Rattus norvegicus: one gene and its partner. The protein of the gene in region 2 binds, or shares a complex with, the protein of the main gene of each other region. Links are inferred from orthologs where the notes say so. Each region holds a gene or a part of one and is shown on either strand. Other genes may lie near its edges.

Region 1 (4,546 bases), on a different chromosome or scaffold from region 2:
TCCCCTTTCTGCAGCATTTTTCTAGTTTGAAAAGAAAAGCATTCGTTTCCTTATGCTCAGGAGCCACTATGGTGGTGAGGTCATGTGTGCAAGGGTCCTAGGGAAGAGAGGCTTTCTTTGCTCCAGGCAACTCTCAGCACAGCCAGGTGTCCAGCTCCCACAACCTACTCTCAGAAGAAGCTCTGAAAGGGGATTTCAGAGGATAATTTTGCTCAAGGAGCTAAAGTCAATGGTTACCTGAGCTCCAAACTGAGGACCACAGCAAGAAAGGACTTCTTTCACAGTACAGAGGTCAGAGGCCAGGGATCCGCCCTAGGAGGCCAAAATTCCAACTCAGAGCTCCCTATCTCTGCCTACAAATTGTGCAACTAAACATGATGACGGAAAGCTGGCCTAAGGGACAGGGTGATCCAGTGTTCACAAGAGTATCCCTAGACCTGCTCCACCTTCTGGGTGTCTCCCTAGTGCCACTAGACCCCTTACAAAAGGATCCTTTAGGGTCTGAGTTTGAGGGTCAGTGGCAGAGCACATACAGGCCCTGGGCCCAACACCTAGCACCACAAAACAAAACTTTTAAGCTAGGTGTGGCCGCTCACTTCTATAATCCCAACCCTTGAGAAGCTAAGGCAGGAAGATTGCTCTGAGTTTAAGAATCATCCTGGGCTACGTATTCATTCATAGCCAGCCTGGGCTACAGTGATGCTCTGTAATGATAACAAACAAAATGAATCCTCTTAAGTATAATGTATATTAATGTTGTACTACATATTGTATTTATTAGTTCAGAAAGCCAGTAGGTAGTATGATTCTTTTACAGACTCTAGACCTGGAAGAGTAGGAATGGAGGGGGAAAAGAAGGGGGAGGAGGAGGAAGAAGAGGAGAATGACACTGTTCCTCTAGAGGATACTGAGTCTTTAAACACTGGTGTCTGGATTCCTGATTACTAGTATCTGCGCATCTCTGATGTGCTGGACCTTCTTCTAAACACCTTGTTACACTGTCTCCTTTAATCGCTACAATAATTCCACAAGCCAGGAAACTAATTCTTCTTTCTGAGAGGAGAAAGCTGAAGCTCTGGGATTAAGTACTGACCAGGGAGACACACCTCATGAGTAGTAGGTCCTAGGTTGGAGAGAGGACACAAAACTTGAACTTTTAACCAGTGAGGTCCAGGTTAAAATGAGGTAGAAGCCTGACTACTCAATTCTACCCCACTTGACCTACATCAACATGAGTCACTACTCCTTCAGGACAGATGGATCACTGGCTGTGTACGCATTTGATGATTTAATTCTAATTAATACCAACCTTAGTCCTAAAAGATCTGTTTTCAGCCCCTATTTTACAGATGAGGAGATAAAGACTCAGAGACAGAACAACTTGTCAGAGGCTGCCCAGTTGGCAACCAAGGGCAGACTTTCAGGTTTCTGGGTTAAGCTTTGGTCTACAAGTCGTCTTGGGTAAGACTTATTTCCCTGGCTAAATTGGAGGCAGCACTTGACCAACATCTTCCCGGCATTTAGCAGTTGGCTTGATGAGGTGCCCATTTGTCTCCCATTAAATCCTGCATCCCCAGAGGCAGACACAGAATGGAGAGGTCCTCAAGCTTTTTTCTTTCTTCACTGCTGCCCCCCCCCCCCCAAGAGCCTGGCAGCTTCCACTCTGGCATCCTAAGTTCATCAAGGAGTCTGTCACTTGGCAGGGCAGACTAGACAAACGTGCCTGGTAGGATGGACTTTATTAAGTTTTTTGTTTGTGCTTTGTGCAGCTAGGATCTGAAGACAAAGGGCAAGAACCACAAGAACCTGAGAGGTTTAAGAACCACAAGACACCTGAGAGGTTTAAGGATTCGTACCAGGAAGAAGCCTCAGGTTCATTCTCAGAAGTGAAGCTGCTAAAACATGGAATACTCCTGGGAGACCTCTGGGCTGAGAGACTGGGAGGAAAAGGCTCCCCACTCCATAGCTCTAGCCAGCATTCGGGAACTCAACTGAGATTAGACCTTGCCCCCAAACACGTACAACTGGTTTTGCCCAGCACTTCCCAGGTGGTCTGGCTTCAGGTTGGATCCTACCTAGCTTCCAACAATAAAATGCTTTCCCACAAGCACTGGGGTTTTTCTTTTCTTCTTGTGTAATGTGTTAAGGCCTCATGTAAGGTCGTCATTTAACTAAGCAAGGAGTGGGGTGAATTCAAAGGCAAGATAAGCACTGCTCTCGGTTCCTCAAACTCTGCTCAGAGCTTTGGGAACTCCTGGTTGGGAAGAAAGTACCCTGTCGAGTTAGTGTCGTCCAGTGCTGAGATGGAAGTACGCCAGAGTGGGCTGGAGAGGTGAACACAGACCTGCTTCTCTGGAAACCCATCAGCACGGCTGCAGGGGCATGCACGTGGAAAAGACAGGTACCGGCATCCCTATGTGGGTTCTGTGCCCCACCTCCCTGCCTCAGTTTTCCCATCATGCAGAAAAGGATGGGGCTGCCTCTTAAAGACTCTCTAGAGCGATCCGGAGGCCTATGTTCTGCATTAACATTGCTCTCTGCAGCTTTCCCGAGGGTCGCGAAGCTGGAGGACCGGTACGGAAGGTAAAGTGAGAAACGACCGCAGCTCTGGCTACGGCCTATGCCCTAACTGCTGCGTCTGGCCCGGAAACCGTGCATCAGGCCGGAGACAGAGGTTCCCGCGGGCCGAACGGCCACTCACCGGCATGACTGACGCGGCACAGGCGGCACAGGCGGCACAGGCGGCGGCACAGGCGGCGGCGAGGACTAGAACGCCTCTCCCGAACACCAAAGCGGCGTTTCCGGAGAGCGCTCCTGGAAGCCACGCCCTCAGGCCAACCCAGTCTTCGGCCGGGCCCCGCCCTAGGGATGGGCTCTACTTAGTCCCCGCCCTTTCCGGGGTCTAGCTTCCGCAAGGCCCCGCCCTTTGAGGAAGACTGTTCCGATCCCTTCGGTCCCAGTTACAGCCAGGCTCCTCCCTTGGGCTGGCTTCCACTTGGTTACCGCCCCTTTCTGACATGACTATTTCACTAGGTACCCCCTCTCTTCGGACCCGCCAGGCTCTTTGGGGCCAGTCGGAGGCTAATTTGTGGAGACCAGACCTGTACCTTCTACTGGGTCATTTCTGAAACAAGGTTAGGGAATGAGAGGCCAAGGCTCTAGGAATGAGGGATCTGGTATTTCCCTAAAGGGACCGTCTCTCTTGCTTATTACTCAGTCCCTAAACTACAGTTGCCTGGCCTAGGGCGGCAGGTCTGTTGACCCAGTTACTAGAGCGGCTGAGGTAGAAGGTTTCTAGGTTCAAGGCTAACCACAGCTGTAAAGTTCAAGGCCATTTTGGACTTCTTGAGACCCTTTCCTGAAAAACATATTTAAAACAAAACAAAACAAAACAAAACCAAATGTAAGTGTAAGGCACAGAGTAAATCAGTACACAACTCTAAAACCAGGTCTTGAAAAGTTGAGGGCCAAGTGGTGCCTTCAATCCCTGCCCTCTGGAGGCAGAGGCAGGCGGATCTCTGAGTTCAAAGCTAGCTTGATCTACAGTGCAAATTCCAGGACATCCAGGGCTATGTAAAAAAAAGAAAAAAAAATCTTGTCTCCAAACCAAACCAAACCAAAGCTGAGGGAGAAGGACCCAGAGGATCCAGAGTTCAAGGTGGCTGTGACCTTTAATTTCAGCACTCAGGAGGGAGCAATACCCACACAGACTTGCCTATAGGCCAATTGGATGAAACCAATTCTTCAGTTACAGTCCTTTTCCAAGATGACCGAGGCTTGTGTCAAGTTTATCAAAAAAGATCTAACCACTCTTATCCTAAGAAAAAACAAAACAAAACAAAACCTGGGAGACTGTGTCTTTCTCACCCAATTACGGCAGCCCAGTCGACCAAGTTACTTCATGGGTAATTGATACGCATGTAGAAGACGGGCTTCCTCGACAGTGCCAGAAGGACCAACAGATTAGATTTATCTCCTCCACCAGCCATTTGTGTCCTTGAGCTGAGGGCTAAGAGAAGTTCCCTAAACTAAGAAGGCAATCTGTCGTTCTGTGTGTCAGGATGGGTTCAGTCAGAAACTATACTAAAATTTGAATATAGAACTTATAAGAAGTTGGTTAACAGAAAAGTCTAAGAATCTAAGACTAGCTGGATGCAACGGGTGGGGATGGCGACACAGGTGTCTATAAACAACCCCTCCCCCTATTCTCTGGAGGCTGAGGCCAGGGAAGTCATGAATTGGAGGCCAGTCTGAACCTTAGGAAAACCTGTCTTAAATAAAATGAACTAAAATAAATGTAAGAACATAATAGCTAGGCATGGTAGTTAACACCGTTAATCTCATCATTTAGAATTGGAAGCAGGGGAAGACAGTGACTGTACACACACACACACACACACACACACACACACACACACACACTAAATACAATCTTAAAAAAAAAAAGAATTGGAAGCAGGGGGATTGCTGAAAGTTGAAGGCCAGCCTGGACTACATAATGCCATGTCCCAAGTGCTAACAACCATTCAATCTGATACAAAGCGTG
Region 2 (3,812 bases):
TTTAACTCAGTTAAATATAAAGGTACATGGAGCAGGATTAGAACGTGGCCTTCATCACAGCATGGAAACATGAACGACCTTTGACAACACTGTTTTAAGTCACATGGCAAAATCAATTCTCAAATAACAATATGATATGACTAATAACTACCTCTCAAATGGTTCTCACAAAGTACCATGGGTATCCTCTAACCCTGGCAGTGATATAAACTTGGTAAATTTGCTGAACATATTGCTAAAAGTAAAACGATTAACTACATAAATCAATGCATATTTCTAATGAGTGGTCGAGAAAACATTGAGGTCTTTGACTGATCCACTATCTTAACAAATGTCACCCTTTCTTACTTTACCTTCGCTATGTGTTCCAGCCATCGGCCTAGTGCGATAAACACAAACAGCATAGGAGGTGTATCAAAGAAGGTAATAGGGTTCACTTTGGCTCTCTCATACATTGCAACCAGAAGAATGACCAGAGAGTAGGCAAATGCAATGGTGGTTGCCAACACAATCAGCACATCCATATTTGCTGTCTTATGCCTCAGCGCTTTGTAAGCCTGAATGTAAAAGTACCAGCCTCCACAAAACTGTAACAGAAAAGTGAATATTACTGAATTTTCCTAAAACTGAAATTCATATGTAAACCTAAGTAAACTTAGCATAAAGTATCAATGTTTGCTTCCTTTGCCTTTTAAGTAGTCCATAAACACTGTTATAGTGCCTCACATGTAAGCCCAGGTTGGTCTTGAACTTGACGAGGTTTGGGGCTTATAGGCATGCATCACTCCACCTGGCTGTAAGAGGGAGATTTTGAGTAGGAACAAGTTTGCACTTTGGCAGAGGTATGTACACAAGGCCTTCAAGTTGCTGTGCAAGACACCAAGGGACATCATCTATGATGCAATGAATACTTCATACCATTAAAAAAAAACCTCAGAGGGCTGTTGCGAGTTTTCTTTTCTTTTTCTTTTTTGGTTTTTTGAGACAGGGTTTCTTTGTGTAGCACTGACTGTCCTGAAACTCTCTCTATAGACCAAGCTGGCCTGGAATTCACAGAGATCCACATTTTCCTTTTTGATCCTAGCTTAAACAAGTAAACTAGGAAGATAATTTAGATATTTTGGAAAGTTTTTTTAAAAGATTTATTTATTATATATAAGTACACTGTAGCTGTCTTCAGACACACCAGAAGAGGGCATCAGATCTCATTACAGATGGTTGTGAGTCACCATGTGGTTGCTGGGAATTGAACTCAGGACCTCTGGAAGAGCAGTCACTGCTCTTAACCACTGAGCCGTCTCTCCAGCCCAGTTTTTTTTTTTTTTAATATATGATATGTAGCCCTTTTCAGAAAGTCAATCACAAGCCACGGGTTCTGGTGGAAGTATAACAGGAAGGCTTGTCTTCCATTAGTACAATTGGCATTAAGCAATTGTTAGTACTACTGCCTTTTGTTTTGCTTTTGGTTTTGGCGGTACTGGGATTGAACCTAGGGCTCTGAGTATATTAGACAAGTAATCTACCACTGAACAACACCCTGAGCCATCACTTTTAAACCTTTAGTGAAGATCAAATAATATACTTGATAATGTCACTTGCCTGTACAGGTAGACACAATAAAAGGGACAACAAATTCATAATGGACAGTCCCGGCAGGATCTGACGCTCCAGGAACATAGAAGAATGCATGTTGATCATTTCTTCATTACTCATGTTCTGATTATGGTTTAGAGTTGCAAGGTGGTGGTCCATAACCATCATATAGATCATCAGTCCCATTACAGGGATACAGAAAAACAGGCTCACAAGGAAAGACCCTCTCCATCTTAAATGAAAATATTTTTCAAAGAAAAAACACATTTTTAGTTAGTGAGTAACGTAAAAGTTAAATATTCTATGTGCTACAGAAAAACCATCTCACTCAGTGTAAGAAGATATCATGAGGCTGGAGCAATCAATGTCCCTGCAGTTACGAGCTCCTACTGCTGCTTCAGACGACCCAAGTCTAGTTCCTTCCACCCACATCAGTTCAGAAGCACACATAACTCCAGTAGCAGCAGATCCAACGCCCTCTTCTGACCTCCACAGTCTCCTGCATGCATGTGTCATACACTCATACACACATACACCCAATTGAAAAGTAAAAGTAAATCTTAAAAAAAATACTAGAGTAAAAATTGACATGCTAAAAGGATGTTAAATTTCTAAAAGGAGTCGAAATGTTTTTATTAACAACCCCAAAGTACTTACTGTTTTATTTCTCGTTTATGATCTAAGTGGTTGGCTGATCGATCTTTCTTGACCAAAGAAGCTTCAAAACCTAAGTTCTAAGGAAATTCATGAGAAAAATGTCAATTCACTCCATGCAGAGATATTCTAAGCCATGTTGTTATTACTTAGAACAACTCAGTTCAATTCCTGAGTCAGTGTCATTCTGGGGAATAGAAGCATGAAGCTGTCCAGAGCTTTCTGCCCATGACTAATCTGGTTTCTAAGTTTGTGAAGAAATTAAGAGCACATTGAGGCTAGCTACTGTCTATTTTGCTGCTCGTAAACTGGCAATTTCACTTAAGGGCAATAGCCATTTCCACCGACAGTGCAAAAAATCTAGCACTATAGTAAATACACTGTCCAAGGCCTTGCCCTCATTTATGTTCCACCTTAAAAAACATGAACCAGAGTCCTTTCCCCCACTACAGCAAAGTCTGAAGAGGGAACTACACCTCAGTAAGATGCACATGGGCTCAGAGAGTTCTATAACTGAAACCACCACGTTTTCAACTGCTAGGGAAACGGCTGCCATCTTCTAGTTGTTGGCAGCGTAACGTGGTGAAAGGAGCAAACGTGAGCTCCAGGGCCAGCGTGATCAGCATAAAGTCTCATGGAACTCAACAGATAGCTTCTCAAGTTGTTTCACCTCTGAATAAGATGGCAGCCCTGCTCTGAGAATCTAAAACTGGAGCTTGGCAACTCATCTGTGTACCTGCTGAAGGTGGCTAGATACTCAGAACTGCCAGCTCCACAGATATCGATGGTATATCTGCCTCAAATAATAGGATATTAGTATATACAGTGAACTGTAATACACTGTCAATCATCAGAACGTCAATTTCATAGCACACTGACAATGCATAGTATAAATATGCACAATATAAATATAAAATACATGTATATAACTGCTTAAGATGCACTGAAGTACATGGGATGAAGTTAGCACAAAGGGTTGCATTTAACTTGAAAGTGTTTTTTTTTGTTTTCTTTTGTTCTGATTTGCTTTAACAAACCATAGCACATCCAGCATGATGCTTTAATTTTATAGTGATTTGCTAGAGTCTTTCTTACAAATTTAACTTTATATCCGTTTCCTAAATACTTTAAGTGATTGACAGTTCCAGCTCAGGTCTGCTCTTGGTTTAATTGTACAAATGTGCATGTAAGTTTCCTGATGAAGGCCATGGGGGTTGGGGGTAACAAAAGCAGACACACACTAATGTTCTTATGTGGACAGTCGAAGGGGTCTTTTCATTGTCTCTGTCTAATGTAAACCAGATGTGATTCCAGAAGGTGGTTCACTGGAAAGGGAAGACAGAAAAACAAAATCAAGACTTACTCCAATGGTATGGATAATATCTCTGGGACCAATAATTTCTGGATCATATTTAATATGTGCTTTGTTCGTTGCCAGGGCCACAGAGCAGTAGAAGATCCCTTTGTGTTTTGTGAGCGTTGACTCAATTTTATGGACACAGGAGGCACACGTCATTCCTCTCACCTGTTAAAAACAAAGCCTTTGTTACTAAAAATATCCCTTT

What was found.
Region 1: the proteins of Atp7a (region 2) and Atox1 are in contact, whole or in part, in an NMR structure (PDB 2K1R), measured with the Homo sapiens proteins. The link is inferred for Rattus norvegicus from reciprocal best matches to the Homo sapiens genes ATP7A and ATOX1. Residues at the interface, in NP_000043.4 of Homo sapiens: Cys19, Asn20, Ser21, Cys22, Trp24, Thr25, Gln29, Asp67, Asp68, Met69, Gly70, Phe71, Asp72; in NP_004036.1 of Homo sapiens: Thr11, Cys12, Gly13, Gly14, Cys15, Ala18, Arg21, Val22, Lys25, Lys57, Thr58, Gly59, Lys60.

Annotation. Positions count from the first base shown.
Region 1 is NC_086028.1:40,077,757-40,082,302, forward strand, and holds the start of Atox1 (copper transport protein ATOX1), read right to left. Parts: upstream 2,806-4,546; 5' UTR 2,708-2,805; coding exon 2,702-2,707; intron 1-2,701. UniProt on the Homo sapiens protein: Binds and deliver cytosolic copper to the copper ATPase proteins. May be important in cellular antioxidant defense.
Region 2 is NC_086039.1:75,227,399-75,231,210, reverse strand, and holds part of Atp7a (copper-transporting ATPase 1), read right to left. Parts: intron 3,773-3,812; coding exon 3,611-3,772; intron 2,328-3,610; coding exon 2,251-2,327; intron 1,826-2,250; coding exon 1,600-1,825; intron 588-1,599; coding exon 354-587; intron 1-353. UniProt on the Homo sapiens protein: ATP-driven copper (Cu(+)) ion pump that plays an important role in intracellular copper ion homeostasis.